Linked DNA regions of Arabidopsis thaliana. The protein of the gene in region 2 interacts with the protein of the main gene of each other region in a pairwise test. Each region holds a gene or a part of one and is shown on either strand. Other genes may lie near its edges.

Region 1 (3,362 bases), on a different chromosome or scaffold from region 2:
TATACGATCAAGAAACCAAAAACTTGGATCTTCTCATTTCTCACAAAACAAATAGATTCAAAATTAGAAATAAAACCAATTTATTTAGTTACATATAAATCATGAGAGCATCATTTTTTATTTTTTTGGAGCTTCGAACACGGTTTAGATACAAAAGACACGATGGGTTCAAAGCGTTTGACAAATAAATTTTTTTTAAAAAAACTTTAAAGGAGGACCCCATGGTACTAAATATCTTCTTTTTTCTAAGTCTTGACAACTTTTTTGTTTGATTCTTTTTAGTGGTCGTAGTTACAATTTACAAAGCTAACGGACATTCATACGTTATGTACTCTTCAGTTGTAACATCACAATGACACAGACACTTCTAGTTCTGGGAAGGCAAATAAAATTGACATCATAATAAATTTTGGTTTTGGCTGGTAATCCTTCTCACGTTATAAATTTATAATAATATCTCTTGTTTCACTAATTAATTTTCTTAATCATTTTCGTTAAAAAATAAATAAATAGAAAACAGCTTCATTTTCTTAATCATTTTCTGAACAACTTTGCTTCATTTTATTTTTTATGTTATATGATTTTATACTAGACATATGAACATATATATTCTAGGTAACACAGAAAAAAAAACACAAAAAAAAATCATTATATTGAAATGTTTTTAAACTAACTCAACTCACTAAAAGTATTGTTGTTAGTAAATGAACGATGAGGATTAATCTAATCAACCAAACAAAAGAATCATCAACGGCTACAATCTCTACTTTCCTTGGCGATTTCAATAAAACGAAGACGACGATGATGTATCACATCCCTCTGCTTTTCTCCTCCCTCCGTGTAATTTCACGATTGAGCTATTCATCACAACAGTTGATCTTGACAAACCTTCGTCTCTCGATAATCTTTTCAATGGTCTAGATTGGTTCTCCTCCTGCATTTCAAAAAGAATTGTTTCAGATTTCTTAATCATTTCCTAATAATAAAAGAAGATAAAGAAAAAGATTCATATTCATACATCGGAGAGGTTAAGATCCAAATCAAGTCTCGTCCTTTTCACCACCTGATCTCCTTCACCACTACTAACCGAAGACGACGAACTCACCACCGGAAGTTCTTGCTCCACCGCAGCCGGAACAACCTGATTCTCCACTTCTTCTTCTTCTTCATCCTCATCGCTTTCCTCATCATAAGACTCAGCTCCGTCGTTACAACCAATGATCTCTTCTTCTTGGTTAAGATTCTGATCCCTCCCGGCGAGGGAGCTGTTGTTATTCTTCTTACGAGCTAAACAAGACTCACAGATAGAAACAGTTGGGCCAAGATTCAGCCCAGAAGCTTTCCAAGGCGTGTGTGACTGACACGCGCTACATAGAAGACAACGCATGTGTTTCGCCACCAGAAAATTAGCTCCGTGAACTTTACCGTCACAATCCCAACATAAACTCGCTTGATCTGACTCACAATACATTCTCGCTACACCACAACATAACTCGCACTTCTTCTTCCCCATCTCTAGATATTATCTCGCACAACCACAACCACAAGCTCTCTCTCTATGTCTATCTCTGTCTCTAGATGTTTGTGTGTTATAAATATTCTTGGTAAGGTCTTTTGCTTCTCTCTCTTCTCTCGTTTCTTCTGCGGACACGAATAAGAGACAGCGTAATAGAGAATTGTAAAATGAGAATTTCGTGGCGACTTTTATGTGATTTAATTCTTTTCGAGGATATTGTCGTCTTTTTGATATTAACGAAACGATTTTTCACGTAATTTTTTAATGAAATGCAAAGAAGCTTCCTAATTTTAAATTAGAATAAGATTAAAGGATTCGTTCAAACTTTAATTTTTATGGTGGATAATTTGTGGATAATTTTGTATTAGTAGTTCTAAATCTGTGTTTGAAATTGATTAAGGTTTCCGCGGCTGAGTATTATTCTCGAATTCTTAAATTTAGGAGAGATGATAATAATAATAAAAATTAAAGGAAATGTTGTTATTTACTTGGTCCTGAAACCATGTACTGGGACAAGGCTCTCCTATGGGCGAAGTCTTACGTGTCGAGATATTATTCGTTTTATGTTTCATCAGATATTTTTATGCGGTTAGATTTTTAGTTAATGACGTGGCGAGATATTAGCCTCGTATAGAGGAGAGGGAAGATTCTGAGTTATCCTACGTGGACGAATCAGGTTCTGTAATAGACTTAGAACCACGTGATCCGCACCTGGGATTTGTCTGGTCCTCAATACACGTCTAATGGGTCCACTCTTTTTTCTTTCATTTTTTACTTTTTTCAGTATTCCTCTCTCGTTCCGGTCCAAGCGTTTTGTTTTCGAAAATGAAAAGTGAATTAAATATCATTTATATCGTTGGTATTACGGTAGGATAATAATGATGATCGGATTTTTAATATCGCATTTTGGGTTCGGAAATTTTGGTGTCCATGAATCAACATGGTTACTAGGAGAAGAACCTAATTTTATGATTTTATCAACCACTTTTAGCGTTCCATATTTTACATAATTCGAGTTAAATGTCTTTTTCTCTAAATAAAAATAAATAAATAAATCCAACCACTAATTTTACATTTTTACTTCACATCATTGGCAATTCGATATATTACTTGTTATTTGCTAATGGTAATTAAAAAGAATATAGAATATATATTTGAAAAATTATTAAACCTGGATTAAAAAAATGAAAGGTATTACGAATTTTTATCTAAAAAACAGGATAGATAGATAGCTAAGAAGCTTGTAGTTAGACAAATATTTTTTGTCATTTCAAATGTTTACAGTTGTGAGTTTTTAAAAGAAAATCACAACGATTTTTGTATGATAGAGTTTGATCTGTGGTTTTGATCCATAGAACAAACTAATTCATCTATGATCAAAGATGAATTAATTTGATTATTTGTATTCATTTGATCAAAGGAATTAATTTGTATCACGAAATCGAGATTAAGACTAGCAAAGATGGATTGAAAGTCATTTTAGGATAACAAATAATACGTAAAATATATATAAGAACAAAAAAAATGGTAAAGTTGGGCCTACGTAACATGCTTGAGAAATTTTTACGTGGCGAAGATTAGTGGTGTAAAGGGTGAAGTGTGAATTGTGAAGAATCAAAGGAACACGAGATGTCTTCATTTGAGAGCCACATGCATTAAAAAAGCGCTGATGAGTGGAGGTGTTTTGAGTTTTATGGTTTTTTGTTTTTTTACTTTTAAATGTTTGTGGATGACAACTTTAGAACAACTTAGAAGAAGCCTCGAATCAATACACATCTATCTTACGAATTACTCCTTATTTTTTGTTAGTTCTTTTCCATTTATGTTTTCTTTTGCAAGTTTCTTT
Region 2 (5,009 bases):
AATTGTAGTGCTTTCCTAGCTTTCGCTGCTAACGCTGATGAATCAAGAGGCAAGTTTGCACTACTTTTCCCAGCTGTGGACAATGGTCTTCCATCTGTACTAGATTTTCCAGGAACCTCATGAGATCTGACAACACTAGCCTTATTTTCATCCGTTGTAGATATCGAAGATACCTTAGTGAGCAGTGTTTGACTAGGGGCAGCAGAAGCTTCCGATGGAATAGAACTATATGTAGAGGCTCCCTGCACAAAAAAAGAAAATGCAAGCATTAGCTAGCGAAGAAGACTAGAGGTAATCATGAACAAATCGCAAGTAGCAAACAAAGAAGATTAACGAAAAGGTATAAAGAACTCACCATCGTAACGCCACTGGTTGGATTCGTAGCCCCAGAACCCTCAGAGACTTGAGCATCTTTGTTCTCAACTTCAATAGCCACATCCTCAAACCTGCTCCTCCTCTCACCATTCCCATCAGCAAACCTAGATTTCTTCTTCCCATCCCTAGCCCCATTCTCTTCCTCTCTATCTTTCCTCTTGCTCCTCGATTCCTTCTCTTTACTACCTTCGTGAGACCTCTCATGGTGATGCTTTTCCCTATCTCTACTCCCTTCTCTCTCGCCTCGCTCTACAGATCTCCCTCTTCTATCCTTGGTCCTATCTCTCTCATCTTCCCTATCGCCGCGCCTCGATGAACGGTAGTGATCTGAATCACGACGCTTCGAATCAACATCGCGGTCACGGCGGCGTCCTCCTTCACGTTGTGGAGAATGGTCGGGACTCGAATCTCGATCACGATCGTCACGGTGGCTCCTGGAATATCTCTCCTTATCCATGGCAGAATTTAGGGTTTATTCCTAACAACAATTTGCTTCTGATTCGCCGGTCCTATAAATATACGAAAATTCACAACCGGAATAAACCAGCGATTCAGATTAGAACCAAAACGACCAGCGAAACCAAGTTCTGAATCAGATTTTTGTTCCTTCCGGAAAAATCCTAAAGGGAGCGAAACGATACCGGATCCGGAAGATATATAATCCAATCACCGGACTACAAGCTTCCCTTATGGGCTGAAGCCCATTTTTGAGTTCCTTCTTGAGATAGTTCTTCAATTTTGAGTCTAATGGGCTTTTATATCATCTTTTACTTAAAAAAAAAAAAATCGACGATTCATCTTCTATAGAGATATATGAAAATTCAAGCTATTTATCTTTAAAAAGAAAAATATTTGATGTCAGGTCGCAGTTTTCTTACAAGCAGAAATCCAAACTCTTCATACCAACTATTTTTGGAATAAACAAGATTTCTTTGCCAAGAGTTTTCATACCAACTATTTTTTGGATAAATAAGATTTCTTTGCCAAGAGATTTCCACAAGTTGACCACAAATTAAACATTCGATCAAAACTCAAGAATTCAAATATAGAAGTATATAACGCATATATTCCGCTTTGACTCAAAAAAGAAAAAACCCGCTCATATACTGTATTATGTATAGTCTGAATCACAAACTCTCTAACACGTGAAATTTAATGCGTTAGTCAAGAATCGTTCCGATTGTTACCACTCCCCAGGAACTTTTTCAAGATATTTATACCTCAGAATGATAGCACTTTACAAATAAGTTATACTTTTTTTCAAAACAAAAAAAAACAACTTATTGAAGTCTATGGACAAAAAGAAAATATCTAACATGAATCCTAAAATATCTTTACGATTTTAATTTTATCACATCTTTTGTCAAGAACTCGTGTGTAGCAGTTTATTATGCACATAAATATATGCTATACATTACGCTGCAATGTTCGTAAATACTAGTTCCAGAAAAAGACGATTCCAGCCGTTATTACACTGATCAAAAAGTTATTGCTATATACGGAAAGAATTAATCCCATAAAAATCATGTGCTTTGAACTAACTTTCCCTTTATACGTTAAAATAGATATTTAGGTGAAAAAGCAGATTAGATATTTTCTCTTAGATTCTCTGTCACAGTCAACGTAAGCTTCGCCGTCTGAACAATGGCGACTCTCTCAGCACGCTTTTACACCGTCAGATCTCAACATATCTCAATCTGAACAATCCATCATACACAAGTTCCATACATCGCAACACAGAAAAACAAATCCCTAACCCCAAACTGTTTACAATAATTAGCTTCGTTGTCTTCTTCATTCCAAAAGATTTGCAGATAATTTTGACAAAGCCCCCCAAAAAAAAAAAGAGTTCAAAATGAAAAACGTGAGAAATGGATTTGTCATCATTCTTCTCACCGTCCTTAGTCTCTGAAAATAAATTCTGATTTTGATTTCGAATTTTAGGGATTTTGAGAGAGAGTCAGTTATGAGTAGTTCGGAGAGAGTACCGTGCGATTTCTGCGGCGAGCGTACGGCGGTTTTGTTTTGTAGAGCCGATACGGCGAAGCTGTGTTTGCCTTGTGATCAGCAAGTTCACACGGCGAATCTGTTGTCGAGGAAGCACGTGCGATCTCAGATCTGCGATAATTGCGGTAACGAGCCAGTCTCTGTTCGGTGTTTCACCGATAATCTGATTTTGTGTCAGGAGTGTGATTGGGATGTTCACGGAAGTTGTTCAGTTTCCGATGCTCATGTTCGATCCGCCGTGGAAGGTTTTTCCGGTTGTCCATCGGCGTTGGAGCTTGCTGCTTTATGGGGACTTGATTTGGAGCAAGGGAGGAAAGATGAAGAGAATCAAGTTCCGATGATGGCGATGATGATGGATAATTTCGGGATGCAGTTGGATTCTTGGGTTTTGGGATCTAATGAATTGATTGTTCCCAGCGATACGACGTTTAAGAAGCGTGGATCTTGTGGATCTAGTTGTGGGAGGTATAAGCAGGTATTGTGTAAGCAGCTTGAGGAGTTGCTTAAGAGTGGTGTTGTCGGTGGTGATGGCGATGATGGTGATCGTGACCGTGATTGTGACCGTGAGGGTGCTTGTGATGGAGATGGAGATGGAGAAGCAGGAGAGGGGCTTATGGTTCCGGAGATGTCAGAGAGATTGAAATGGTCAAGAGATGTTGAGGAGATCAATGGTGGCGGAGGAGGAGGAGTTAACCAGCAGTGGAATGCTACTACTACTAATCCTAGTGGTGGCCAGAGTTCTCAGGTTTTGCTTATCTCTCTTTTGATTTTTTTGGCTAAGAACAGTTTAGTTTTTTCTGTTAATGAGCAAGTGAGATTAAGTGGTGAAATGTTTTTGTGTAAGGTCAAATATAGTCACTCTGTGTGGTTTTATGGTTTCTCAAGAAGATAAAAAAATGAAAGGTTTCTTAACCTGTGTTGTGAACTTGTATACAGATATGGGATTTTAACTTGGGACAGTCACGGGGACCTGAGGATACGAGTCGAGTGGAAGCTGCATATGTAGGGAAAGGTGCTGCTTCTTCATTCACAATCAACAATTTTGTTGACCATATGAATGAAACTTGTTCCACTAATGTGAAAGGTGTCAAAGAGATTAAAAAGGTAATAGTTCTCATTAACCTTAGTCATTTAAGTAGAGTAGTGTTTAAAACACAATACGTTGTCATCTCCCGTTCATCCTCAAAAATTGTTGTAGACAGTTGCTTCTTTTAGTGAATGATAGAATTCAGAACATGAAACCTAGTCAGAAAAAAGTTACAAGCTGGTTTGCTTTTCTTTGTTTTACCTCATCACCAAGCCACCAATTCTAACATTTTGGCTTATGATATATATTTGCTAGACTGCTATGCAACTTAACTGTGATGCTGATTAGGATTCTTTTGCAGGATGACTACAAGCGATCAACTTCAGGCCAGGTACAACCAACAAAATCTGAGAGCAACAATCGTCCAATTACCTTTGGCTCTGAGAAAGGTTCGAACTCCTCCAGTGACTTGCATTTCACAGAGCATATTGCTGGAACTAGTTGTAAGACCACAAGACTAGTTGCAACTAAGGCTGATCTGGAGCGGCTGGCTCAGAACAGAGGAGATGCAATGCAGCGTTACAAGGAAAAGAGGAAGACACGGAGGTAAATGCTGCTTTTTTCTTTCCCCTTTAATAATTTTTTATTGCCCATCTCCCTTAAAGAATCTGATACCATATTTCGTTTCTCCCTTTGTCTTGGATCTCGGGTGCCAACAGATATGATAAGACCATAAGGTATGAATCGAGGAAGGCAAGAGCTGACACTAGGTTGCGTGTCAGAGGCAGATTTGTGAAAGCTAGTGAAGCTCCTTACCCTTAACCTTAAGTCTCTTCACATAGGCTTCCTTTTAGCTACAAACTTAGTTACTTTTTTTACTTCCACTGCCTCATAAATGTACAGACCGGTCTCGTTTCATCTGGCCGCCCTTCTGTTTTATTGCCTTATCTGGCCCTTTTATGTACCTTGGAATCTTATCTAGTTTAAAAAAGATTGTAACCTTCTAGAAAACCATATTCTGTTGACAGTATATACATGTCTATCCAAGCATTTTGAAGTCTCACAAGCTAATACGCCTTGATACTCTTTGTTTTAAAAACCCTGACTTATGGCTGTTAATCAAAGTTTTCCAAGTCCAGTTCGCAGATGGCGAGCGGATCTGCGGCTGTGGTTCTTCGTTGCTGTTTCTTTGGTGGTTCTGGCTGTGTTGGCCAATTCAGAAGGTATAAATCTCCCTACTTAAAGAGTTACTCACAGGCGAAATTCCACAATCAGTTTATTCTAGTGTATAATACATGTAGTGGATGTTGTATAATGTTTATGCTTGAATGTCATATAGCTCTGCAGACGTGGGATCCGATGCAGGTGACAATTCTTCTTAAAAGACAACTAATTCTCTGACTTTCCTCTTAGTGACTATAAGAATAGACCAATTCTCTATTAAATTTTTCGTTTAACAATTCCCTCAATCAAGAATTCTCTTCTCTGTATTTCTCCTCTCCATCTTTATCTTACCTCTCCGAAACGCCTTGAACCCTCAAAAATGTCCTTCATCCTACTCGGATTCATATCTTAATAAATGTGAACCACTTGGAATCCC

Evidence for each region. Proteins that work in one complex are often made in the same cells at the same time.
Region 1: the proteins of BBX13 (region 2) and BBX29 interact in a two-hybrid assay, tested with the Arabidopsis thaliana proteins (one large-scale study listed by BioGRID).

Annotation. Positions count from the first base shown.
Region 1 is NC_003076.8:22,113,803-22,117,164, forward strand, and holds BBX29 (B-box type zinc finger family protein), read right to left. Parts: upstream 1,738-3,362; 5' UTR 1,514-1,737; coding exon 1,019-1,513; intron 935-1,018; coding exon 782-934; 3' UTR 502-781; downstream 1-501.
Region 2 is NC_003070.9:9,774,990-9,779,998, reverse strand, and holds BBX13 (B-box type zinc finger protein with CCT domain-containing protein), read left to right. Parts: upstream 1-1,955; 5' UTR 1,956-2,341; coding exon 2,342-3,127; intron 3,128-3,318; coding exon 3,319-3,486; intron 3,487-3,770; coding exon 3,771-4,015; intron 4,016-4,128; coding exon 4,129-4,231; 3' UTR 4,232-4,477; downstream 4,478-5,009. Other genes in the region: AT1G28060 (Pre-mRNA-splicing factor 3), read right to left, coding at 1-242, 356-832.